Linked DNA regions of Saccharomyces cerevisiae S288C. Each later gene encodes a partner of the first gene's protein in a complex. Each region holds a gene or a part of one and is shown in the gene's direction. Other genes may lie near its edges.

Evidence for each region.
Region 2: the proteins of RPT6 (region 1) and PRE9 are in contact, whole or in part, in a cryo-EM structure (PDB 6EF1), measured with the Saccharomyces cerevisiae proteins. Residues at the interface, in NP_011467.1 of Saccharomyces cerevisiae: Lys402 (codon at 2,889), Leu403 (codon at 2,892), Phe404 (codon at 2,895), Lys405 (codon at 2,898); in NP_011651.3 of Saccharomyces cerevisiae: His31 (codon at 1,996), Ala32 (codon at 1,999), Gly33 (codon at 2,002), Lys51 (codon at 2,056), Glu64 (codon at 2,095), Lys65 (codon at 2,098), Tyr67 (codon at 2,104), Val77 (codon at 2,134), Gly79 (codon at 2,140), Leu80 (codon at 2,143), Thr81 (codon at 2,146).

What each region holds. Positions count from the first base shown.
Region 1 is NC_001139.9:409,413-412,971, reverse strand, and holds RPT6 (proteasome regulatory particle base subunit RPT6), read left to right. Parts: upstream 1-1,685; coding exon 1,686-2,903; downstream 2,904-3,559. Other genes in the region: N-acetylglucosaminyldiphosphodolichol N-acetylglucosaminyltransferase catalytic subunit ALG13, read right to left, coding at 812-1,420; TIF4632 (translation initiation factor eIF4G), read left to right, coding at 3,368-3,559. UniProt on the Saccharomyces cerevisiae protein: The 26S proteasome is involved in the ATP-dependent degradation of ubiquitinated proteins. The regulatory (or ATPase) complex confers ATP dependency and substrate specificity to the 26S complex.
Region 2 is NC_001139.9:759,487-762,668, forward strand, and holds PRE9 (proteasome core particle subunit alpha 3), read left to right. Parts: upstream 1-1,905; coding exon 1,906-2,682; downstream 2,683-3,182. Other genes in the region: CCR4-NOT core subunit CAF130, read left to right, coding at 1-1,652; LSB1 (Lsb1p), read left to right, coding at 2,942-3,182. UniProt on the Saccharomyces cerevisiae protein: The proteasome degrades poly-ubiquitinated proteins in the cytoplasm and in the nucleus. It is essential for the regulated turnover of proteins and for the removal of misfolded proteins.

The sequences.
Region 1 (3,559 bases):
CGCAGAAGTTGGTTATTGGGCCCGTGGCGCAAACTTGACGGGAGAGGTTACAGACACAATATACTGCAGTTGAGCGAAAGCCGACGTGTTGTATTAAGCGCTTGAGTAAAACCGGATGTTCTTGACGATCTTAATATTGTTAGGAGAGTAATCTGCGATCGTGGCTTTGCCTGACGCACTCAATCTTGCGTGGGAAAAACCTGAATACCACTTAATAGATGATATTTTAGAGTATCATTTGAACGGTAGGTATACTGAATATATTGAAAGTCCTCCCCAGGGATACGAGAGTTCATAGAAGGAAACTAACATTTCTAAATTATATTAATGTTATTTTTTTTCTTTCATTTCTTATGTTGTCACTTATTCTATTACATTATCAATCCGTGCATTTCAGCTTCCATTAAATCTGCTGACTGTTTCTCGATCTTCACGTTCTATCCTTACATCTTATATGATATTGTAATACAGCTATGAACAATAGTCTATAGATGGTGGTCGATTCTTGATACAACAGCTGCATGACGGTTGTTGATACAATTATTTTTAGAATTTTAGTGGACTCTCATAGGACTCTTGTCCCTAAACGAAACATCAAAAAACTGGTTTCGTGGTCTAGTCGGTTATGGCATCTGCTTAACACGCAGAACGTCCCCAGTTCGATCCTGGGCGAAATCAAGTTTTATTTTTTTCTGATCAAAAACGTCTAAGGCATTACGCGGATACTGCTAACTAACCAAAGAAACCTTCCATCTTTTTTTTTGGTAGTTGTCCTACTTTCCGTTCTTTTCGTCTTTTAAAATCTTACTAACTAGCTGTATATAGTTTCAACTAGCAATCGCTCAAATGACGGGTTATGAGAAACTGGGAATGGTTTGAGTTTCTCTGTTTGAGATGCACGTAAACCAGCTATCAAACCTGTTTCAGTGGGTGCACAAGACCATACGTAGCCCAACTCTACAAACTTGTCTGCTATCTGCTGCTGGTGGTTATCCATCAAAGAATCGTTTACGCAAACTATCAACGGTTTATTCAACCGTAGAGAATCTAGTATAGAGCCCGTTCCAGCGTGTGATATGACCAAATCTGAATAATCACGTATAATACTTTGCATCTTGGTCGAAAAGTCAAACCCGATCACCTTTAATTTCCCGTTCATCAGGACATACTGTCTTGCGGTGTCGCCACAGCCAAACTGGTCAATTGGAATTTTTTGGCTTTCTCTTTGGCCCCCGCGTTCTTGCACTAAATGCTCAAATTCAGAACTGTAGTTTCTCCCAAACTGAATGATTAGACGTACGAATCCATATTGAATCAATTCTTGGCAGAATTCGTCGCTTAGCACACATGAGACGAGCTTTGGAAATGGCACCGTTGCCCCACACGTAACAAAAAGAGCCTTTTCTTCAATAATACCCATTGTTTGAAAGAGCTGGCTTCTGACTCGTTTGTTTAACCTCTTTTTGCGACTGAAAACTTGTTTTTCTATTTCCCTTTTTCTTCGGTTGGGTTTTTTAATATGAAATCATATTTTGCATACTTCTCTACCCTTATTCTTGTTCGGAAATTTTCGTATTTTAAAACTGTCAAAATGCGAGCGAGGTGGCAAAAGTTGTAATATCAGTAACAGTTAGGTTAGGTTTTATGTAAACGGAACAACAGTATAGTGGGATACTATCACGACAATGACAGCTGCTGTAACATCCTCCAATATAGTATTAGAAACCCACGAAAGTGGTATCAAACCATATTTTGAACAGAAGATCCAAGAAACAGAATTAAAGATCCGCTCCAAAACAGAAAATGTTCGCAGACTGGAAGCTCAAAGGAATGCATTGAATGACAAAGTACGTTTTATCAAGGACGAACTGCGTCTATTACAGGAACCTGGATCTTATGTGGGTGAAGTTATAAAGATCGTGTCTGACAAAAAAGTTCTCGTTAAAGTGCAACCTGAGGGAAAATACATCGTGGATGTTGCAAAAGATATAAACGTGAAGGACTTAAAGGCATCTCAAAGAGTTTGTCTAAGGAGTGACTCTTATATGTTGCATAAAGTTCTTGAGAATAAGGCTGACCCACTAGTTTCGTTGATGATGGTGGAAAAAGTTCCTGATTCCACATACGATATGGTTGGTGGTTTGACAAAGCAAATAAAGGAGATTAAAGAAGTTATTGAATTGCCCGTAAAACATCCTGAACTTTTTGAAAGTTTGGGTATTGCGCAACCAAAGGGTGTCATCTTATATGGCCCCCCTGGTACAGGGAAAACCTTATTGGCAAGAGCTGTCGCACATCACACTGATTGTAAATTCATCAGGGTCAGTGGTGCGGAACTGGTACAAAAGTATATCGGCGAAGGTTCCCGTATGGTCCGTGAGCTGTTTGTGATGGCTAGAGAACATGCTCCCTCAATTATCTTTATGGATGAAATCGATTCCATTGGCTCTACTCGTGTAGAAGGTTCTGGTGGTGGTGATTCAGAAGTTCAAAGAACAATGTTAGAACTACTAAACCAATTGGACGGGTTTGAAACTTCTAAAAATATCAAGATCATAATGGCCACGAATAGACTAGATATTCTAGATCCAGCACTTTTGAGACCCGGTAGAATAGATAGGAAGATTGAATTTCCACCTCCAAGTGTCGCAGCTAGAGCTGAAATTTTAAGAATCCATTCCAGAAAAATGAATCTAACTCGTGGTATCAACTTGAGAAAGGTTGCTGAAAAGATGAACGGTTGTTCTGGTGCCGATGTCAAAGGTGTCTGTACAGAAGCTGGTATGTATGCTTTAAGAGAAAGAAGAATACACGTTACTCAAGAAGACTTCGAACTCGCTGTGGGTAAGGTTATGAACAAGAACCAAGAAACGGCCATTTCTGTCGCCAAGCTGTTCAAGTGATGTATTCGTTTCACTTGGCTCATTGTATATGTTACTTAGTGTATGTGTATAATATCATAGTTTAGCATTAACTAAGAGGCAAAATTATACCGCTGGATATACAGGATATAACAACCGTTTGTCTTTTCGAGAACAGAGGGGCAGAGCATTGCTGCTTTTTCCCCGTCCTGACCTTATTAATAGTAAGCCGGGGGGCCCGTTCCTTTAGTGTATTTTGAAAAATAGTAGGTACCTGCTTTGCAAAAAGGACTGAAAAAAAAAAGATAATAAGTTTTTGATTAGAGGTAAACACAGCAAACGACCACTCAGCCTAGCAGCCTTGACCCTCGAATTTAAAAAGGCGTCTGTGTTGATAGTAACTAGAAGATAACGTTTACTACGGCGACTTCATATTTTTAGGCTGTTTTTACTGTTCCTGAAAGAAAGAATTTATTACAAAGAACAATAGATCAATTGTAGGCACTATGACTGACCAAAGAGGTCCACCGCCCCCACACCCGCAGCAAGCCAATGGCTACAAGAAATTTCCTCCTCATGATAACCAATACTCTGGAGCCAATAATAGTCAGCCAAATAACCACTACAATGAAAATCTTTACAGTGCAAGGGAACCTCACAATAACAAGCAATACCAGTCGAAAAATGGCAAATACGGG
Region 2 (3,182 bases), 350 kb from region 1:
TATTTGCCGATTTACAGTCAGGTGATAGATTTGATGAGGATATTAGATATATGTTTGATTATGAATGTGAAGATTATGATGAATCTTTCTCTGAAAGCGATCATGGAGGATTGGATGAAAGCGTTGTTAACCCAACAGAAAAAATAGCATCTGGTAGTAATAATGTTTTCTTTCGGAGACGGTGCAATTGCATCTTCAATGATGATAAGTTGGTGGCAGAGGATGGTGCAAATGAAGCCTTTGGGTCAACAAATAGCGAAAACGTTGAAGGCGCAATGCATAATAATAGGAATGCGGTACATAACGCGACTACAGCCACTTCTGATCACGTCGTTACGTCACCTAACCCACTTTCCGTTAGATCAAGAAGTACTTTTGAATTTGACTATAGTGGGGAAGATTGGAGGGACGTTCCCAGAGATTTCAATATGTACTATTCGCCATCTTATTCATTCATCCATGAGCCTAAGTTAGATGTCATATTTAGTTTGACTCTACGTGGCGCAACAGAAAAGTTGAATAAGGAGGAATCCATATTGTTAGTGCGTTCAGTTGCATCGTGTGTAAGGAACGAGCAGGACCAAATGATTTTAGCAGACCTGGAGTCTAATTTTTCCGCAAGTATAAACGGCGATGTAGAAGGTGAAGGAAATACCAAAATGTCCAAGATAGATAATGAAGATCTCAGAAGAACCACGCCGGATGATATTTATGAAATATGGTCTGAAGAATCAGCATTTGAAAGGATGCTAAACGTGAATCACGACGTTGCGTGGAGATTAATGGATGAAATGTTAATGTGCACCGGTTATAGGAGAATATTGATATGGTTCCTTACGCATTTGGAGTTAAAACATTCGTTGATATATTACGTTTTTGAACTAATAATGGGGTTACGTGGAAAACCGTTTTCCGGAGAAGCCAGTGATCAAGATAAAAAGGATGATATGATATATGAGATCTTGAAGAAAAAGCAGAAGAATGAAGATGCTTCAGGACTTCCCTTTTCAAGGCAAGGACCTATCGTATTATCTGATATTGAGACTAAAATGTTACTGCAGGAGTTTTTTATGAATGCTGCTATTTTTTTGTCATCAAAAAATAACGAAGAAGAGAATGAAGACGGCGAGAAAATCTCCTTGTACTCCCTTGGTTTGGTTAGGTTGATCTGTTACATGGTGCAGACACTCATCGCGAACGACAAGTTTTTTTTTACCAAATCAGAATGCACTTTTGAGCTTCAAACTTTACTGATGACATGGATTGGCATCCTTCCTGAAGCCAAAGATTTATTCTTTAAGATCAAGACAAGGCTCGCCATGGAAGAAGAGGATAGTGCCGATACTATGCAGCATGAGGGCAGGAAGAACTCTGACATAGAGAAGAAGCTAAACGCTAAGCCAGCTTCTGAACTGAATCTGAAATTGTTAAACCTGTTTCCCTCAAAGCCTGCAAACAAAGACGATAGTTCCCCTATTAACACGTTGCGTAGTTTTATCGCTGATTACTCCTTCGACACCCAGGTGAACCCTCCAGGAAGAAGGGTGGTGTTCTACGATGGTAAGATTTTGCCATTGCCCAAAGCCGATAAGCCTATCCCACTTCATGAATATATAACACTCGCAGAGCTCGATGTTGGAGACAGTGAGTGAGCAGTGAATTGCTCATGTTTTCTCTGCATCCTCATTTAATGACAATTAGCCATGTAATAACATCTTGAGGCAGTTAAATATTCGTTACCCTGCAGGTGGCAAAAAATTTATAGAATAAAAGCATAAAAAGATGGATATCTATGTAATAAGGAAACATTGGCAGAGCGAAGAGAACAGACTGCTTTCTATAAAAAGTTTTCGATCAGTCTCTATTTTAATAATTGATTATTGGATATAGTTAGTAGTGTTAAACATGGGTTCCAGAAGATACGATTCCAGGACAACAATTTTCTCCCCTGAGGGACGTCTATATCAGGTTGAATACGCGCTAGAATCCATTTCACATGCAGGTACCGCAATTGGGATTATGGCATCTGATGGGATTGTTCTTGCAGCAGAACGCAAAGTCACAAGTACTTTACTAGAACAAGACACCTCTACCGAAAAACTTTATAAGTTAAACGATAAAATTGCGGTTGCCGTTGCTGGACTGACTGCAGATGCAGAAATTCTAATAAATACGGCTAGAATTCACGCTCAAAATTACCTTAAAACCTATAATGAAGATATACCAGTAGAAATTTTGGTGAGAAGGCTAAGTGATATAAAACAAGGTTACACGCAACATGGTGGTTTAAGACCATTTGGTGTGTCCTTTATCTACGCCGGTTATGACGATAGATACGGTTACCAATTGTATACATCTAATCCATCGGGAAACTATACAGGGTGGAAGGCTATTAGTGTTGGCGCTAACACATCAGCAGCACAAACCCTACTTCAAATGGACTACAAGGATGATATGAAAGTCGATGATGCCATTGAACTGGCTTTAAAAACGTTATCCAAAACTACCGACAGTAGCGCGCTGACTTATGACAGGTTGGAATTTGCTACTATCAGAAAGGGTGCTAATGACGGAGAAGTGTATCAGAAGATTTTCAAGCCTCAAGAGATAAAGGATATATTGGTAAAGACTGGTATTACCAAGAAGGATGAAGACGAAGAAGCTGATGAAGATATGAAATAAGGTTGGAAAGTATTGTTTGACTTCATGCTTATATAAATATGTACGCATAGAAACATATCTCTAAAATTAAAAGTGAAAGAAAAAAATCGCTAAGATTCCCCTTTCGGGGGAAGGCTGAAGAAACTTTTTTTTGCGCAAATTTCAAGATCGGAATCGCTCGAGAGGCAAATATAAAAAAGGGCCTGCTCGTTTGGCCTACTTGTTGTTGGATTCTAACTCCAATCTAATTTTGGCAGCACTTCAAAAATAAACAAAAGCGATGTCTGCGTCACTAGTGAATCGATCATTGAAAAATATAAGGAATGAATTAGAATTTTTGAAGGAATCAAACGTCATATCAGGCGACATTTTCGAATTAATCAATAGCAAGTTACCTGAGAAATGGGATGGAAACCAAAGATCGCCCCAAAATGCAGATACAGAAGAGTACGTTGAAGCTTTATATGATTTTGAAGCTCAACAAGATGGAGATTTGTCATTGAAAACAGGTGATAAAATAC